Linked DNA regions of Cricetulus griseus. The protein of the gene in region 2 purifies or fractionates together with the protein of the main gene of each other region. This does not show direct contact. Links are inferred from orthologs where the notes say so. Each region holds a gene or a part of one and is shown on either strand. Other genes may lie near its edges.

Region 1 (4,167 bases), on a different chromosome or scaffold from region 2:
TGGCAGATGGGCTGCCAGAGGGGGAGCCAACACAGCCTGGGGCTGGAATCACAGGGTAGAATGGTGACAGTCCCTCTTTCAGGGAAAGCCACCAGGGACTGAGGTTCCTTGTGGGCACTGAGTAGGGACAGTCTGTGTGTTCCTTCTCCTCTATAGACTGATTTTTATCTTACATGTAGAAGTGTTCTGCCTGCATGTATGTAAGTACACTGTATGCGTGTCCAGTGACTGAGGAGGCCGGAAGAAGGCACCAGACACCCTGAAACTGGCTACAGGGACGTTGTAATCTGCCATATAGGTCCTAGGACTCGAACCCAGGTCCTCTGCTAGAGCACCAAGGGCTCTTTCCTGCTGAGCCATCTCTCCAGCCCGCTTGGGTTTCTTCACAGCCTTAGACTTCCCCGTGTGCCCATTCATCTCTTCTCCTGTGACAATCACCACACCTTCAACATGGTCTCTCTGGGGAACAGAGGTGACAGCTGCACCCGGATTCTGGAGCTCATGATTTCCCCACCTTCAAGCGACTGTTAGTCCAGATCACCCCCTGCTCCCCTTGTCATTACTGACAAGTCCATTTCTCACCCCAGGCCTTGGTTTCCTCTTTGTAAAATGGGGCTGGGGCTTGTGGTTCGAGGTCATTGCTGGTGGAACTTGAACTGATGAGAGTACTGGTCAGGCACCAGACCACTCCTTGTGTGTGACTTAGACCTGCTGTGTTATTTGCTGTTTGTTGACTTTGAATGTGTGTCAACATGTCCCTTACCAGGGGAGTGATCATCTCCCTACAGGACCCTGGGAGTTCACACATGGGAGGACTCAGGACAGCACTGGCAGATGGAAAAAAGTCTGATCCTCTGCTCTCGCTCCCTCACTTGGTTTTCACACATGCCTGTGAGGTGTGAGCCTGTGTGCGGAAGTGTGCTGTGCGCATGTGCATACGGGGGGCTCACATTGATGTTGGGTGGTTTCCTCAACCACTCTCCACTTTATTGAGCTCTCAGTGATCCAAGAGCTCAGAGCTTCTGGTTAACAAGCCGGCCAGCTAGCCTCAAGGATCCCATCTCTGCCCAGCCCTGTCCCCCACCCCCATGCTTGGATTACAGATGGCTACTCTGCCCACATTTTCCAAACTCCTATTCTCACCCTTACATAACAAGTGCTTTATCTACAGAAATGCCTCTAGTTTTCTTTTTAACAGTCTCTTGTCAATTATAGCAATTTGAAATAGTGCTTGATATAGGCTGGGCATGCAGCAGCCGTTAATAGGCTGTGGTTGCTTTTGTATTGTGCCAAATGTTAGCTGATGGGAGTCACCACAGCCTCGATTCCTTGCAACATGCATTTCTGTGTCTTGCAGAAGAATGATGTCCTCCATCTCAAGGGGGATCTTGCTGCTGGTAGGCCTGTGCTGCCTGGTCCCCAGCTTCCTGGCTGAGGATGCCCAGGAGACAGATGCCTCCCAGCAGGATCAGGAGCACCAAGCCTGCTGTAAGATCGCTTCAAATCTGGCAGACTTCGCCTTAAGCCTGTACCGGGAGCTGGTCCATGAGTCCAATACGACCAACATCTTCTTCTCCCCCGTGAGCATTGCTACAGCCTTCGCTATGCTTTCTCTGGGCACCAAGGGTGCCACTCACACCCAGATTCTAGAAGGCCTGGAGTTCAACCTCACACAAATAGCAGAGGGTGAGATCCACAAGGGCTTCCATCACGTCCTCCAGACCCTCAACAAGCCAGACAATGAGCTTCAGCTGACCACAGGCAATGGCCTGTTCATCCACGACAATCTGAAGCTGGTGGCGACGTTCCTGGAAGAGGCCAAGAACAATTACCACTCAGAAGCCTTCTCCCTCAATTTCACAGACTCGGAAGAGGCCAAGAAAGTGATCAATGCTTTTGTGGAGAAGGGAACCCAGGGAAAGATAGTTGACTTAGTGAAGGACCTTGACAAAGACACAGTTCTTGCCATGGTGAATTACATTTTCTTTAAAGGTAAGATGACATAACCAGCTCCAGCTGATTCTCATGGAGACACTCATCCATGGTTTCTGAGCTCTCACTCTGGGCTGTGTCACTCTGTCCCATCACATCCCTGACTCTCCAGTGGGTACACTCTGTCATATTTTAAATCATCAGTAAGTTTGGGAATTGTCAACCATCAAATCCACTGACCTCTTTGAAGGACTGACTGTCCTCGTGCTCACTGAAGACCCCGACGAAGGAGTCTCAGAACACGAGATTCTTCCCCAACCTCAGAACCAAGTGTATCTGGTGGTATGAAGAGAGCCCTGCTCCATGAAACGTATTTTGAGCAGCTCTTTTGCTGCACACCAGTATGAACTCTGGAAACATGGGCTTAAATTTTGCTACTGCTGTCTTGATGTTGGACAAGCCATTTTACATGTTTGGGGTACGGCTGTCCATATGGCCAGGGACAAAGCTAGCCAACTGCTGTGAGGTGATGAAAGAATTAGTAAATACAGTATACACAGGGACGGTTTGGATGTAAGCACTTGATCAACTCTCCTTGACCCTAGCCACAGCCTCCTGCCTGGAAGTGGTTAGGTCAGGATTCTATGCTAAGCACCTGTACCCCAGAGAAAACATCTGAGGAGGGTCTGGGAGTCAAAGTCAGGAGCTTCTCTGCCCTTCGTGGCTCCTTTGCCTCTAAGCAGAGTCTTATGGAGCAGAATATCAGGCCATGGTCAGCATAGCTCAAGTCCTGGCTCTTCTGTGACAAGGGCAGATGTTAACTCCTCCCCAACCTCTTCCTATCCAATAATAAGGCAGGGTTAGGGCTCCTGATTCCATGCTCCTTCTGAGGGCCATTATGGTGGATCCCTGAGGGCCTTGCCTACTCTGCCAGCATTGGTGATGGGTCCCCGAGACCCCTACCCACTCCAATGACCTTGATGGTGTTCTTACACTTGAAATGGCCATCTACACTGAACCCATAGATGTAGAAAGGGACTTGAGGTGTCCTGAGTGACAACTGAACTCACACTTACCAATGAGCATGCCACCCTGATAAGAAGCTAGCAAATAGAATTGCTGTCAAGATTTCCACTTATAACCCCAGGTCACCTTTCAGTAAGCATGTAACACATCTAACAGGTGAAATGCTTTCTAGACAATGGGGATGGTAGCTGTGAGCTTCTGTGATCTGTAAAGTGTGAGTCCTTTAGTCCCAAGTTACCCTCATCAAAGTCCCTGGGCATTTTGAAGTCTAGTAGTGGTCCCCTGTGAAAAGTCAAGGCCCTGGGTCACCACTTCCCTGGCTGAGCCCTCTTCCTACTTCCTACTTCCCATACACTGCAGGCAAGTGGAAGAAGCCCTTCAGGGCAGAGAACACTGAGGAAGCTGACTTCCACGTGGACCAGAGCACCACGGTGAAGGTGCCCATGATGAAGCGCCTGGGCATGTTTGATGTGCACCATTGCAGCACTCTGTCCAGCTGGGTGCTGCTGATGGATTACTTGGGCAACGCCACTGCCATCTTCATCCTGCCTGATGAAGGCAAGATGCAGCATCTGGAGCAAACTCTCAACAAGGAAATCATTTCCAAGTTCCTGGAGAACAGACACACAAGGTGACTCCCCAGACAGAGACCTTTCCCTGAGTGTCCAATCCTGACCCAAAAGTCACAAAGTGCTGCCAGAGGGTGGACTCTATCCCAGGGCCACAGTTTAAGTGCATAACCTTGAGCTAAAATAAACCTTCATCTCAGACAGTGCCAGGTAGAGTCTGGGGAGGGACAGAGCTCCTGGTGAGAGAGCCCAGGCCCTGCTTTGGAGGGACTCCCATCCCCAGAGGACATAGTATTTTCTAACCCACAGCCCAGGGCTGCAATGTCAGCAGCGCTAGCATACATCATGACTGAACTAAGAACCAAGACTGGTCTCAAACCCTGGCCACAGCTGATGGTAGAGATTGAGGTGAGAAGTTTATAGGAGAGCCCAGGATAGTCTGCATGGACAGCCCTAAACAGCAAGGGGCCAGCAATAGAGAACCCTGGGCAGGTTTGCAGAAGGCTCTGTTCGTCTGTCACTCCTCAGTGGGGCTCCAGGTCCCAGCAGTCCTAGGGTCTTCTCCCCAGGTCAGAGGACCTGCTCTGAGCCCAGGCTCTGCTGCCTGTAGGATAAGGAACCCTGTGAGCTTCTGGCAGGC
Region 2 (4,080 bases):
AGAAGGCTGAGGCAGGATGATATCACAAAACCATGCCAGCCAAGCTACAAAACAAACTATCTCAAAAAATAAACAAAAAACAAACCAAAGAACTTAACCCTAGGCAGTCACACCACACAAGTCAGTAGGAAACAATCCCAGGAAAGGCCACAGGAAAATACCTAGCAAAGACATTATTGGAGGGCTGACTGCTTCATACACCATTAAACCCTCCATCACTGGCAACTATTTGTGACAATTAATGTTGACAGTGCCCTATAAGGCAAATTCTGGGCAGTTCCTCTGTAAGGGAGTTTCTAGACTCAGTCACTTGAGGTGGGAAGGAAAACACTAGCTGGGAGGGCAATCCCATGGGCTGGGATCCTAGAACAACTACATAGGAGGAAGTGAACTAAGCAACCACTCTTGTCTGTTTCCTCACAGAGGGCTGCAATGGGACCAACGGCCTTAAACTCTGGGTGCTGTGACTTCCCAACCACAATGGACTTCACCAACTAACCAAGGGCCTAATAGTCAGGTATTCTGTCACAGCAGTGAGAAAAGGAACCAGCACTCTGTTCTTCACAAGGAAACAATCCAGTTTTATGGGATTGCTCCTAAGAGTTCATAGAATCCTCATCCCAGTGAGGACACTGCACATGAAACCCCCCATGTAAAGCTGAGTGGTGATAGCCCATGCCTTCAATTATTCTAGCACTCAGGAGGCAAAGGCAGGCAGATCTCTGTGAGTTCAAGGCCAGCTTGGTCTAGAGAGCAAGTTCCAGGACAGCCAGGACTACACAGAGAAACCTTGTATCAAAAAACCAAACCAAACCAACAAAAAACCCCAAGTAAGGGTGAGAGATGTGATTTATCCGAGGGCACACAAAAGCTGCATCTTGAAGGGCAAGCTAGAGTTCAATGTGTGCAAAGGGAGTGGAACACATCTGGGACAGGGACCAGCACGAATAAAGCAGAATTACAGCCATTGAGATCTAGCCTTCACCGAGAGTGTGGAATGATCACCCTGGCAGGAAAACACACTTCTCTTTAGCATTTTAATCACTGGAAAAAGACTTCTTCAAACTGGACTCTAATAAGCCAAAATACTGTTTTAGAGAATGGTCTTTTAGACTTGTGTTAGTATGATCTGACTTCTGGAAGGCAGATAGCAGATAAGTGCTAAAGCTCTACCAGAACTGAGTTTATAAGCTAGACTGTGAGGATTAACAACAGTGGTAGGTGGGTCTGGTGGTGAGATGACAAAAGAAGACTATCCTGTGAGACTCCCTGGGCAGCTAGCTGGCCAGTCTATTCTCAAATCATATCATTATCATTACCATTATTATTATTATCATTGGTTGTTGTTACTATTGCTTGTGTTTTGAAACAATTCCTTGATGTGTAGTTCAAACTGGCCTCGATTTCCTGACTTCTGGGATTCCGGCCACATTAATTCTGAACTAGTTGTAGTCAAATGCAGGAACTCAATACACCAAAAACATACTAAAAGTAGATGCATTCCAAATTCTCACCCTTGGCACTTTTCTTAAGACAGGATCTCCTAGGTAGCCCGATCAAACCAGAACTTGCCATCCTCCTGCTTGATCTGCTGGTTCCTGACTCCACCCTTGGCAATTCTAATTTGGTATATGAAAAAGAGCTCACAAATAACCTAGCATCTCTTAAATGATTCTGAAGTCCAACCAAGCTGCAGAATTACTTCTTAACATCTCAATAAGACTTATAATCAGAGCCCCCCCCCAATTATTTTTGAGACTGTATCTGACAGGTTTTATTACTTACTAAACAATAAGAAAAAAGGTAGTGGTAACATTAATCATAGTAGCCTTAGACCACTTACTTGAAAGTGTTTAAAAATTAGTTCAGGATTGAAGTATAACTGAAAAGGTGTGATCAATTCCAACTGCTGAAATGGAAAAAGAGCTTCTTAAATCAGATCAATTGTAAAACAAAAATTCGGCATTAACGACAAGGGGCCAGTAGCTCTAATAATTTCTGTTGTCACTTGGAGTAAATTCCTGTCTTGCTTGTGATGGCTGGTAAGAGATTCTTTAGAATTCGCACAACCGTTTTGTATCCTTAATACACAATGCAAGTTTGATGTTGCAATATTTGAGGGTGCTATAAGGTAGGCAGGTGGGGATATTTTAGAGACAAGACAACAGCATCTTTTACGTGTGTCGCGTGGTCAGCACCCGAAACAGCTGGGCAAGACAACTCCGAGTAAGAGATTCGAGGCCCCGCTACCATCAGGGCTAGACACAAGCGGCCAGTTCTTATATCCACGGGCCGTCTTTTGAAAGATGTTTCCAGACCACTCGAGATTTTTTTTTATCCTTAATACAGAAGTCTGTGAACCCAGCGGACCTTGCTCCCGCTAGTCACCTGGCCATAGCGAGGGCTGAGATACATTTTTGGGTGGGCGGCTCCCGCAGCTCTGACTCGCTACAGGTCTGGATTTCATCTCTCGGTAACTGACCTGCCCCTTCATGGAGGAGCACTTCCTTTTCAGGTCACTGGCTTGGCACCCTTGGGACTATCCCGAACCCTAGAGTCAGCTCCGGATGTCTCCACCCACCCCTGGGACCAAACCCTCTGGGCTTCTCTGCGGCCCAAACCCGTTTTCTGAAGACCCAGTCATAGCTAGCCTGAAAAAAGGAGGACGTGGCGCCACAGCTGCTCACCACGGCCGCGGTGGTGAGGACGCAGGCGGTAGTGTAGGCGCGGCTGACCGGCGGGATCTGCAGGTACTCCAGCCGGAGGCTCTGGTACGCCATCTTCCCCACCGCGCCTGCCCCCCTTCCCCTTCCGCCAGTATGCCAGGCGGCGGGGCGGACTCAAAGCCGGCCTCCAGCCTTACCACCGCTGTCCAATCAGCGCCGGGCACTCGGCCGGCCACCAATCGCTGGCGCCTTGCGGACCGCTCACCCACCAATCACGAGTTGCGTTTCCGCGTCGGCCCATCCTTACTTCTCTGCCTACCAACGAAGAGAGAAAGTACCAGTTCCTTCCGCCAATCCCTGCTGGCCACAGCTAGCTTTCCCTCCTCGTCCCCTCCTTTCACCAATCCAAGTGCCCACTTTTGACGCCAGGGCCGGCCAATCAGGAGTGCGGTCCATCCCGCCTTTGCGTTTGTTCGCGGAGGCACGTTTCAGTCGCCTCTGAGGAGTCGCTGCTGCCGCCTTCCTACTGCAGCTCCGTGCGGTTTGAAGGGAGTGGCGGGAAGCCGGTGTGTGGCAGACTCCATCACCCCGGGATCGCTTCGGTAGGGGCCGTGTGTTCTCTGAAGAGGAGCGGAAAGGGCGGGGCTGCAGGAGCGCCGTCGTTTCAGGCGCGCCCCAGCGTTCTGCAGGGTATCCTTCACACGGCCGCCCTGGGCCCGGAGACCTGGACGTCCCGGCATGCAGTGCGGCCGCAGGGTGGGACGGGAGCTGGAGATGCCGGAAGCGCTTCCCGCCCTGCGGTTTTCTTGGGCATTGTCTGTGGTGGCCGAAGGCTCCGTCACACTCGTCGAGATGGTGTGGGTGCCTCCCGTGTTTAACTTGAGCCTCAGGAACTCTGTCTAGCAGAGGAGAGATGGTAGATGAGTTAGTAACACTGAGGGGAAAGCGAAGGAGGTAGTGGCTGGTTCTTCAGGGATGTGTGTTCGAACTGGTTCTTGAAGGATCTGTGCTCGATGCGTGCCCACTTGAAGGAAAAGGGAACTGAATTCGGTTGTGTTGGAGCAAAGACAATCCTGGTCGTGGCAGAAGCATTCGACAAGTTAATAGAAGCATTAAAAAACTGTGGGGCAACGTGTGACTGTCAAGTCTAGTAGGAACCAAGTGAAGGCTGGACAGAGTGGCATTTAAAATTCATATAAGGCTGAACGCAGTGGCACCTGCCTGTGACTCCTAGACATTCTGGAGGCTGAGGCCAGAGGATTTGTTGAGTCCTGAAGTTCTAGAGGAGATTGGGGGCAAACACAAGAAGAGTGGTCTTAACTTGTTTGTAAAACTACAGCGCTACCACCTCGCCGTAGCGTTGCCAGTGTAACAGAAAAGGCAAAATTGGAACTTGTCTCTGAACAAGTTTGGA

The links. The genes of interacting proteins can lie anywhere in the genome.
Region 1: the proteins of Derl2 (region 2) and Serpina1 purify together in Homo sapiens (affinity purification with western blotting; 3 studies listed by BioGRID). This does not show direct contact. The link is inferred for Cricetulus griseus from reciprocal best matches to the Homo sapiens genes DERL2 and SERPINA1.

The regions. Positions count from the first base shown.
Region 1 is NC_048598.1:190,875,366-190,879,532, forward strand, and holds the start of Serpina1 (alpha-1-antitrypsin), read left to right. Parts: upstream 1-1,361; coding exon 1,362-1,992; intron 1,993-3,318; coding exon 3,319-3,589; intron 3,590-4,167.
Region 2 is NC_048600.1:84,823,176-84,827,255, forward strand, and holds the start of Derl2 (derlin-2), read right to left. Parts: upstream 2,815-4,080; 5' UTR 2,781-2,814; coding exon 2,652-2,780; intron 1,910-2,651; coding exon 1,844-1,909; intron 1,620-1,843; exon of another isoform or gene 1,515-1,619; intron 1-1,514.